Saccharomyces cerevisiae S288C: one gene and its partners. Changing the gene in region 1 together with any one later gene gives a genetic interaction. Each region holds a gene or a part of one and is shown in the gene's direction. Other genes may lie near its edges.

Evidence for each region.
Region 2: mutations in ABP1 (region 1) and SLA2 are lethal when combined (synthetic lethality), as found in Saccharomyces cerevisiae (4 studies listed by BioGRID, with this or other methods).
Region 3: mutations in ABP1 (region 1) and ACT1 together harm fitness more than expected from each alone (negative genetic interaction), as found in Saccharomyces cerevisiae (3 studies listed by BioGRID, with this or other methods).

The regions. Positions count from the first base shown.
Region 1 is NC_001135.5:263,465-267,295, forward strand, and holds ABP1 (Abp1p), read left to right. Parts: upstream 1-1,603; coding exon 1,604-3,382; downstream 3,383-3,831. Other genes in the region: CSM1 (Csm1p), read left to right, coding at 1-500; YCR087C-A (uncharacterized protein), read right to left, coding at 542-1,003. UniProt on the Saccharomyces cerevisiae protein: Regulates ARP2/3 complex-mediated actin assembly. Recruits ARP2/3 complex to sides of preexisting actin filaments, which may promote nucleation or stabilization of filament branches. Binds to actin filaments, but not actin monomers.
Region 2 is NC_001146.8:185,857-189,687, forward strand, and holds the start of SLA2 (Sla2p), read left to right. Parts: upstream 1-2,194; coding exon 2,195-3,831. Other genes in the region: VPS75 (Vps75p), read left to right, coding at 1-493; U2-type spliceosomal complex subunit CWC25, read right to left, coding at 490-1,029; SUI1 (translation initiation factor eIF1), read right to left, coding at 1,314-1,640. UniProt on the Saccharomyces cerevisiae protein: Required for cellular morphogenesis and polarization of the cortical cytoskeleton. It might act in concert with proteins such as CDC42 and CDC43 to limit the region of cortical patch formation to the cortex of the bud.
Region 3 is NC_001138.5:53,085-56,684, reverse strand, and holds ACT1 (actin), read left to right. Parts: upstream 1-1,988; coding exon 1,989-1,998; intron 1,999-2,307; coding exon 2,308-3,425; downstream 3,426-3,600. Other genes in the region: TUB2 (beta-tubulin), read right to left, coding at 1-349; Rab family GTPase YPT1, read left to right, coding at 699-1,319. UniProt on the Saccharomyces cerevisiae protein: Actins are highly conserved proteins that are involved in various types of cell motility and are ubiquitously expressed in all eukaryotic cells.

The DNA.
Region 1 (3,831 bases):
TGGTAAATGAGAATTTCGTACTGTCGGAGAAGCTGGATACAAAAGCAACCGAGATCAAACAGCTGCAGAAGCAGATAGACTCGCTAAACGCACAAGTCAAGGAGCTGAAGACTCAGACTTCCCAACAGGCAGAAAATTCAGAAGTCATAAAGGACCTTTACGAGTACCTCTGTAACGTACGTGTACATAAAAGCTACGAGGATGATTCTGGGTTGTGGTTCGACATCTCGCAGGGCACCCACTCAGGGGGATCTTCCGATGATTATTCGATAATGGACTATAAACTCGGATTTGTCAAGGGCCAGGCCCAAGTCACAGAAGTCATATATGCGCCCGTTCTTAAACAGCGATCCACCGAGGAACTATACTCGCTACAGTCGAAACTACCGGAATACCTCTTCGAAACGTTGAGTTTCCCCCTCTCGTCGCTAAACCAATTCTATAACAAAATCGCTAAAAGCCTGAATAAGAAAAGAGAGAAAAAAGATGAAACCGAGTAAGCTGCTACATAATGTCTATATATCTACACATAAAATTCCGATTATTCCTTTGCATACCTGATTTGCCCCTCAGAATCCACAACCAGACTTTTCAAGAAGGTCTTTTTTGCCCCTTTATCCTTCATGGTTTTCAAAATTTTGTACAACGACTTGCCCTTGTGAAGCTCGATACCGTTCGAGGTCTTTTCCACTTTCTCTGCCTTCTTGATCACAGGCTTCTCCACTTTCTTTGCAGGAGTTGCCACTGGCTGGTGCTGGTGCTGCTTCTGCTGCTGCTTCTGCTGCTGCTTCTGCTTCTGCTTCTTGTTGCCCTTGTACAACGCTTTCTGGTACTTCTCGTCCTCGCTGATGCAAGACGTGTGATTCTTGTAACTCACGCCATCTTCAAACGTCTTGGAGCAATCTATGCATGTATAGTACGCGTTAGGACATCTATAATAATGCTTTTCGGTATTCTTCTTGGGCACAGTATCATTACACACCTCACAGTTGAACGTAACCATCCTGTAATAACAAATATTTCTTGACTGAGACCGTTTGCTGTTGTATACAGAATACTCTTAGAGCTCATCGCAAGTTAAAAATTTTCAATTTTTTTTCACTTTTTCCCGTCAAGGCAAAAAGCAACCAAAAGAGAATGAACCTTTATTTTTGATTTATTTATTATGAGATGCTGCTAGTCCACTCATCTGCATCAATGTAGTAGTCACAAAGCTAATATTTAGACGTTACTTTGATATCTCTGTCCATGAGAGCACTTATTTTAGGAAGTTAAATGAGACAGTCAATAGTTCACAATATCCCGTCAGCAATGGAGGGAAAAGGCATTCCTTTTCCATAGGATTTTAATCGTTTTCAAGCATCATACGCCCTCGAGGAACTCTTGTTTTCGCTTTACTATGCAACCATTGATGTATTTCTGTATAAATGTGCGTCACGTGGCCTTGTGTCTCTTATTTCCACTTGTTTTTTCACAATGCGGAAAACCTCGATTAAAGTAGAAAAAAAGGATATAATAGGAGTATACCATATTGGATAGTTCAATCTATAAACAAACAATCGCATAACCGCACGTATATACACGCACACACCTATCAATCACAATGGCTTTGGAACCTATTGATTATACTACTCACTCGAGAGAGATCGACGCAGAGTACCTGAAGATTGTCAGAGGCTCCGATCCTGACACCACCTGGTTGATTATTTCACCCAATGCGAAAAAAGAATACGAACCTGAGTCTACCGGTTCCTCCTTTCACGATTTCTTGCAATTGTTTGATGAAACCAAGGTCCAGTACGGACTGGCACGTGTGTCCCCACCAGGGTCAGACGTTGAGAAGATTATTATCATTGGTTGGTGTCCTGATTCTGCGCCATTGAAGACAAGGGCCTCTTTCGCCGCCAATTTTGCTGCAGTTGCTAATAATCTGTTCAAGGGTTACCACGTTCAAGTTACCGCCAGAGACGAGGACGATCTTGACGAAAATGAACTGTTGATGAAAATCAGTAACGCGGCCGGTGCCCGTTATTCTATTCAGACTTCCTCCAAGCAACAGGGGAAGGCTTCCACTCCTCCCGTGAAGAAATCCTTCACACCTTCCAAGAGCCCTGCTCCAGTTTCTAAGAAGGAACCAGTCAAGACTCCTTCCCCAGCACCTGCTGCTAAGATTTCTTCCCGTGTTAACGACAACAATGACGACGACGATTGGAATGAGCCTGAATTAAAGGAACGCGACTTCGATCAGGCTCCCCTGAAACCAAATCAATCATCTTACAAACCAATTGGCAAAATCGACTTGCAAAAAGTGATTGCTGAAGAAAAGGCTAAGGAGGACCCACGTCTTGTTCAAAAGCCAACCGCTGCTGGTTCCAAGATTGATCCTAGTTCTGATATCGCTAATTTAAAGAACGAATCAAAATTAAAGAGGGACTCCGAGTTTAACTCCTTTTTGGGCACCACTAAACCCCCCTCCATGACGGAATCTTCATTAAAGAATGATGATGATAAAGTCATTAAGGGTTTTAGAAACGAGAAATCACCTGCTCAATTATGGGCCGAAAGAAAGGCAAAGCAAAACAGCGGCAACGCCGAAACTAAGGCTGAGGCACCAAAACCTGAAGTTCCAGAAGATGAGCCTGAAGGTGAACCTGACGTCAAAGATTTGAAATCAAAATTTGAAGGATTGGCCGCTTCAGAAAAAGAGGAGGAAGAAATGGAAAACAAATTTGCTCCTCCTCCAAAGAAATCAGAACCAACTATTATCTCACCAAAACCCTTCTCCAAGCCACAAGAACCTGTGAAAGCTGAAGAAGCCGAGCAGCCTAAGACTGATTACAAGAAGATCGGCAACCCATTACCCGGTATGCACATTGAAGCGGATAATGAGGAAGAACCAGAAGAGAATGATGATGACTGGGATGATGATGAAGACGAGGCTGCTCAACCTCCTTTGCCTTCGAGGAATGTTGCGTCAGGAGCACCAGTGCAAAAAGAAGAGCCTGAACAAGAAGAGATCGCCCCAAGCTTACCTTCTAGAAACTCGATCCCAGCTCCAAAACAAGAAGAAGCACCTGAACAAGCACCTGAAGAAGAAATTGAAGAAGAAGCTGAGGAAGCCGCTCCACAGCTGCCATCAAGAAGCTCTGCAGCTCCTCCTCCGCCTCCAAGACGAGCAACTCCAGAGAAAAAGCCAAAGGAAAATCCTTGGGCCACAGCAGAATATGATTACGATGCTGCAGAAGATAACGAACTGACCTTTGTGGAAAATGACAAGATTATCAATATTGAATTTGTCGACGATGACTGGTGGCTAGGGGAACTAGAGAAAGACGGCTCAAAAGGTCTCTTCCCCAGCAATTATGTGTCTTTGGGCAACTAGAATCACACGTCAGCGTCATGCTATTATATTATTCTTACGTAAAAAAATACTTACAGAGACGTTAAAGCTTTTGTATAGATACTTTCACGAGCCTTCCCTTTCAGTAAAATGAACAAATTATTTTGCCTTGTCCTTCTTTGTTTCAAGCGTTTATATGACTCCTCTACAGTATTATTTTTCAACAGACGGTGTGCCCGTACGGCGTTGTCAAAACCTCGAACATAAAACAACACTGAAACAAACTTATTGCACTCCTGCATCGCATACAGATCTGATACTTACTACAACCATAATGCTGTTTTAGAATCGCATCAGGTGTTTACCAGAAGTGTATGGTACATGGTGCTTTCCTTATGCTCACTATTTCGGATTTACTTCTAGTCTATGTATAGATTTGTTAGAGACCAGTTTTAAGCTACAATGGAACGTTAAGATTAAGAAATGCATGA
Region 2 (3,831 bases), on another chromosome or scaffold:
AGATTTTAGTATAACATTCCATTTCCATGGAATTGAGGGAGACTTCAAAGAGCAGCAAGTCACCAAGGTGTTCCAAATCAAAAAAGGCAAAGATGACCAAGAAGACGGGATACTGACTAGTGAGCCCGTTCCAATTGAGTGGCCCCAGAGTTACGACTCGATAAACCCGGACTTGATCAAAGACAAACGCAGTCCAGAGGGTAAAAAAAAGTACAGACAGGGAATGAAAACCATATTTGGCTGGTTCAGATGGACCGGCCTAAAACCCGGGAAGGAGTTCCCGCACGGCGACTCATTGGCGTCATTGTTCAGTGAAGAGATCTACCCTTTTTGTGTGAAGTACTATGCTGAGGCCCAGAGGGACTTGGAAGACGAAGAAGGAGAATCCGGGTTAAGCGCAGATGGCGACAGCGAGGATGACGATGGCAGTCTCGGTGAGGTGGACTTGCCACTATCCGACGAGGAACCAAGCTCTAAGAAAAGGAAAGTTTAGTAGTCTAGGTCCGGAGCGGGCTTGGACAACGGTTTCCCTCGTTGCGACATTGCTCTTTTTTTTGTTGAGTCTGGAGTTCTTCTTTGTTGTTTAGTTACCTTAAACTTACTCATTGGATCATCTTTAAGCAATTTTGACTTCTTCTTCTGCGAACTTATGGATGTTGCGGCACCAGAAGCGGAAATAGTAGTGGCCGCCCTTACAGGCGGTGTTGCAGGTTGGTTTAGTATAGATGAATCTAGTTTTTTCTTACCTAATAAATAGTCTTCCTTTTCGTCACTCAGTTTTGCATCCTGATACATCCATTCCAAGCCCGACTTCTTCAAAGCCAAGTCATTCTTGAGAGTCTCCGGCTTATCCTTGCTCGATTCGTTCAGCAGTTCATTTAGTTCTCGTTCTTTTTCAATTTCTTTCAATCGCGTGTTAAGCTTCTGCTGTTCGGTAATTAGATCCTGTTCGGTCTCCCATACTTTTTTTCTATTTTTCATAAGCTTGGGATTCCATGATTTCAACAGATTCAAATCGCCCGACCCCATGATAATGTACTCTCGATTTGGCCTTTCTTCCCTGTACTCAAAACTGAACGCTCATCTCTTTTGAGAAGCTGCATGCTACGTACCACTTGTTCTTATATCTCTGTATGTAAGCCCGCGGCGGGAGAAGAAGAAAAAGAAATAAAAAAAGATGAGATGTTATATTATATATTATAGTGTAAATATGCACTTGGACTTAAATAACTAAACAGTTACGTTTTATATAGGATAACAACACTAAGAAAGAAAGCGAGCAGCGAGTAAGCGACTCGGCGTAAGCCTTGAACTTAAAACCCATGAATTTTAATGTTCTTCTTTTGCAATCCCAGTTGGGAGATCATAAATTCGCAAACCTTTGCTCTTTGGTCACCCTGCAACTGAATAATCTCCCCCATTTCTGGATCCTTGACAATGTTACCATTACATGCAAAGTCCTTCTTTAGGACCTTAAGAATTCTCTTTAAATCATATTCCTCTGGGACACCTTGCACCGTAGTTAAAGTTTTTCTACCATTTCTCTGTTGGATACGAATATGAATATAGTTTGAAGTGGCGGTTTCGTCGTCTCCTGTGTCGGCGAAAGGATCAAATGATTTCAGATTCTCAATGGACATACGATTTGCTTCAGCTATATTAATATATTCCTTGTCTTTTTTGAAAAAGAATAGAAAGGAGAAAACCCCCAGCACGAAACGAAAACAACAAGTAGCTCTTCTCTTGTTTTGTCCTTTTGCAGTTTGCTTTTATCCCTGTGATGAAAAAAAAAAAAACTAAAATTTTTTGCCGGCGCATCGAAAAAATCTGTTACCCGACCCGTTATTGGTGATAATACCCATTTTTAACGCGATCACATATCATAAACTGCAGTGAGAGGGTCGTTTACAGTAGTTATAGTACCGAACCAAAAGACTGGAACCATGTACACATGATCCTTTTACGGGTACTTTTTATTGTAATGTAGGTCGGTGCGTTTTGTACGACGACGCAGCGGCTGCTCGTATAAAATGACGCGGTCGCGCGCCGTTTGACGTCCTATAGGAGAATGCCAAAAAGGGTGTTTTGCTGGAAAATATACATATATAAATATATATAAAGAATAGTGAAACAATAGAAATATTAGTAATACAGCCATAGCAGTAGTAGTGATAGTACTAGCAGCTAGAACAGGATGTCCAGAATAGATTCAGATCTGCAGAAAGCGCTTAAAAAGGCGTGTTCCGTTGAGGAGACCGCACCTAAGAGAAAGCACGTACGCGCATGCATAGTGTACACATGGGACCATCAGTCTTCCAAAGCTGTTTTTACAACCCTTAAGACGCTGCCTCTGGCCAATGACGAAGTGCAACTGTTCAAGATGCTTATTGTACTGCATAAGATCATACAAGAGGGACATCCGTCAGCGCTAGCTGAGGCCATCCGGGATAGGGACTGGATCAGATCTCTGGGTAGGGTACATTCTGGCGGTTCGTCGTACAGCAAACTGATTCGGGAGTATGTGCGGTACCTGGTTTTGAAGCTGGACTTTCATGCGCACCATAGAGGGTTTAACAACGGGACGTTTGAGTACGAGGAGTATGTGTCACTGGTTTCAGTTTCCGACCCGGACGAAGGGTACGAGACGATCTTAGATTTGATGTCGTTACAGGATTCTCTTGACGAGTTCTCGCAGATCATCTTTGCGTCGATTCAGTCCGAGAGGAGAAATACTGAGTGCAAAATTTCGGCGCTGATCCCGTTGATTGCGGAGTCATATGGTATTTATAAATTCATCACCTCGATGCTGAGAGCTATGCACAGGCAATTGAATGATGCGGAGGGTGACGCTGCTCTGCAGCCCTTGAAAGAACGGTACGAGTTGCAACATGCAAGGCTGTTTGAGTTTTACGCGGACTGCTCTTCTGTGAAGTACTTGACCACGTTAGTAACCATTCCAAAACTACCCGTGGACGCTCCAGACGTATTTTTAATCAACGATGTGGACGAGTCAAAAGAGATTAAGTTCAAAAAAAGAGAGCCCTCTGTAACTCCAGCGCGGACGCCGGCACGGACTCCAACACCAACACCACCTGTTGTTGCTGAGCCGGCTATTTCCCCACGTCCGGTATCTCAAAGGACTACTTCGACGCCTACGGGTTACTTGCAAACTATGCCGACGGGTGCCACCACTGGGATGATGATCCCCACTGCCACTGGTGCAGCTAACGCCATTTTTCCACAGGCGACGGCACAAATGCAGCCGGACTTCTGGGCCAATCAACAAGCCCAGTTTGCGAACGAGCAAAACCGTCTCGAGCAAGAGCGTGTGCAACAGTTGCAACAACAGCAGGCACAGCAGGAACTGTTTCAACAGCAGTTACAAAAAGCACAACAGGATATGATGAATATGCAGCTTCAACAACAAAACCAACATCAAAACGATTTAATTGCCCTCACCAATCAATATGAAAAGGACCAGGCTTTATTGCAGCAATATGACCAAAGAGTGCAGCAGCTGGAAAGTGAAATCACAACGATGGATTCTACAGCTTCCAAACAATTGGCTAATAAGGACGAGCAACTAACTGCATTGCAGGATCAATTGGATGTTTGGGAAAGAAAATATGAGTCTTTAGCCAAGCTATACTCCCAGTTGCGTCAAGAGCATCTAAATCTTTTACCTCGTTTTAAAAAACTGCAGTTAAAGGTGAATAGTGCGCAGGAATCCATTCAGAAAAAGGAACAGTTAGAACACAAATTGAAGCAAAAGGATTTGCAAATGGCCGAGTTGGTTAAGGACCGTGACAGGGCAAGGTTAGAATTAGAAAG
Region 3 (3,600 bases), on another chromosome or scaffold:
TGACGCTGTCTACAAGCTCAGCACCTTCTGTGTAGTGACCCTTGGCCCACACGTTGCCCGCAGAACTTTGCCCAAAGATATAATTGTCAGGTCTAAACAAATTCCCGATGGCAGAATTGCGTACTGCGTCAATCGTCCCAGGTTCTAGATCGACGTTAATAGATCTTGGAACCCACTTCCCAGAAGATGCCTCGTTGAAGTACACGTTCAGTCTCTCCTTCTGGATATCGTCATGGCCGTGATATGTCCCATTGAAATCCAAACCGTGCTCACCACAGATAGTTTCCCAGAATGCAGCACCAATTTGGTTACCACACTGACCTGTCGAGATATGAATGATTTCTCTCATTATATTACTTTGTGGAGATTTTGCTTTTGTAGTTGTAGTAGCTGCTATGTCACTCCAATTGCCTCACCACTACTTCACTTAGATCTATTAAAGTTTTCGTGTTTGTTTTAGTTTTTGTTGTTTTTTCTGTTTTTTTCCTTTTTCCTTGTGGCGTCGCCTAGGTCACTGTACACGTATATCGTGACCCGGCGCCAAATTCCTGATAGTACTATTTTTTTTGGCCCATGGGGGGAATAAAGAAAAAGAAGAGAAGCCAGAACAAATTCAGCGATTAAGTGCACCAGTTTTGAGGAGGATATCTTTACTGTTAGGCCCAGGTTGAAATAAATAAAACAAGAAAAGCACTAATATGAATAGCGAGTACGATTACCTGTTCAAACTGCTGTTGATCGGGAATTCCGGTGTCGGGAAGTCCTGTTTACTTTTGAGGTTTTCGGACGACACATATACCAACGACTACATCTCCACAATTGGAGTGGACTTCAAGATTAAGACTGTAGAACTGGACGGCAAGACTGTAAAGCTACAGATTTGGGACACTGCAGGTCAAGAACGTTTCCGTACTATCACTTCATCTTACTACCGTGGTTCGCATGGGATCATTATCGTGTATGATGTCACTGACCAAGAATCCTTCAACGGCGTGAAGATGTGGCTGCAAGAGATTGATCGGTATGCAACCTCAACAGTGTTGAAGCTATTGGTAGGTAACAAGTGTGATTTAAAGGACAAGCGTGTCGTGGAATATGACGTGGCAAAGGAATTTGCGGACGCGAATAAGATGCCGTTCTTAGAGACTAGTGCTTTGGACTCCACCAACGTCGAGGATGCGTTTTTAACCATGGCTAGACAAATCAAGGAAAGTATGTCCCAACAAAACCTGAACGAAACCACTCAGAAGAAGGAAGACAAAGGGAACGTCAACCTGAAGGGACAGAGTTTAACCAACACCGGTGGGGGCTGCTGTTGAACAAGCGCGCCTCTACCTTGCAGACCCATATAATATAATAACTAAATAAGTAAATAAGACACACGCGAGAACATATATACACAATTACAGTAACAATAACAAGAGGACAGATACTACCAAAATGTGTGGGGAAGCGGGTAAGCTGCCACAGCAATTAATGCACAACATTTAACCTACATTCTTCCTTATCGGATCCTCAAAACCCTTAAAAACATATGCCTCACCCTAACATATTTTCCAATTAACCCTCAATATTTCTCTGTCACCCGGCCTCTATTTTCCATTTTCTTCTTTACCCGCCACGCGTTTTTTTCTTTCAAATTTTTTTCTTCCTTCTTCTTTTTCTTCCACGTCCTCTTGCATAAATAAATAAACCGTTTTGAAACCAAACTCGCCTCTCTCTCTCCTTTTTGAAATATTTTTGGGTTTGTTTGATCCTTTCCTTCCCAATCTCTCTTGTTTAATATATATTCATTTATATCACGCTCTCTTTTTATCTTCCTTTTTTTCCTCTCTCTTGTATTCTTCCTTCCCCTTTCTACTCAAACCAAGAAGAAAAAGAAAAGGTCAATCTTTGTTAAAGAATAGGATCTTCTACTACATCAGCTTTTAGATTTTTCACGCTTACTGCTTTTTTCTTCCCAAGATCGAAAATTTACTGAATTAACAATGGATTCTGGTATGTTCTAGCGCTTGCACCATCCCATTTAACTGTAAGAAGAATTGCACGGTCCCAATTGCTCGAGAGATTTCTCTTTTACCTTTTTTTACTATTTTTCACTCTCCCATAACCTCCTATATTGACTGATCTGTAATAACCACGATATTATTGGAATAAATAGGGGCTTGAAATTTGGAAAAAAAAAAAAAACTGAAATATTTTCGTGATAAGTGATAGTGATATTCTTCTTTTATTTGCTACTGTTACTAAGTCTCATGTACTAACATCGATTGCTTCATTCTTTTTGTTGCTATATTATATGTTTAGAGGTTGCTGCTTTGGTTATTGATAACGGTTCTGGTATGTGTAAAGCCGGTTTTGCCGGTGACGACGCTCCTCGTGCTGTCTTCCCATCTATCGTCGGTAGACCAAGACACCAAGGTATCATGGTCGGTATGGGTCAAAAAGACTCCTACGTTGGTGATGAAGCTCAATCCAAGAGAGGTATCTTGACTTTACGTTACCCAATTGAACACGGTATTGTCACCAACTGGGACGATATGGAAAAGATCTGGCATCATACCTTCTACAACGAATTGAGAGTTGCCCCAGAAGAACACCCTGTTCTTTTGACTGAAGCTCCAATGAACCCTAAATCAAACAGAGAAAAGATGACTCAAATTATGTTTGAAACTTTCAACGTTCCAGCCTTCTACGTTTCCATCCAAGCCGTTTTGTCCTTGTACTCTTCCGGTAGAACTACTGGTATTGTTTTGGATTCCGGTGATGGTGTTACTCACGTCGTTCCAATTTACGCTGGTTTCTCTCTACCTCACGCCATTTTGAGAATCGATTTGGCCGGTAGAGATTTGACTGACTACTTGATGAAGATCTTGAGTGAACGTGGTTACTCTTTCTCCACCACTGCTGAAAGAGAAATTGTCCGTGACATCAAGGAAAAACTATGTTACGTCGCCTTGGACTTCGAACAAGAAATGCAAACCGCTGCTCAATCTTCTTCAATTGAAAAATCCTACGAACTTCCAGATGGTCAAGTCATCACTATTGGTAACGAAAGATTCAGAGCCCCAGAAGCTTTGTTCCATCCTTCTGTTTTGGGTTTGGAATCTGCCGGTATTGACCAAACTACTTACAACTCCATCATGAAGTGTGATGTCGATGTCCGTAAGGAATTATACGGTAACATCGTTATGTCCGGTGGTACCACCATGTTCCCAGGTATTGCCGAAAGAATGCAAAAGGAAATCACCGCTTTGGCTCCATCTTCCATGAAGGTCAAGATCATTGCTCCTCCAGAAAGAAAGTACTCCGTCTGGATTGGTGGTTCTATCTTGGCTTCTTTGACTACCTTCCAACAAATGTGGATCTCAAAACAAGAATACGACGAAAGTGGTCCATCTATCGTTCACCACAAGTGTTTCTAATCTCTGCTTTTGTGCGCGTATGTTTATGTATGTACCTCTCTCTCTATTTCTATTTTTAAACCACCCTCTCAATAAAATAAAAATAATAAAGTATTTTTAAGGAAAAGACGTGTTTAAGCACTGACTTTATCTACTTTTTGTACGTTTTCATTGATATAATGTGTTTTGTCTCTCC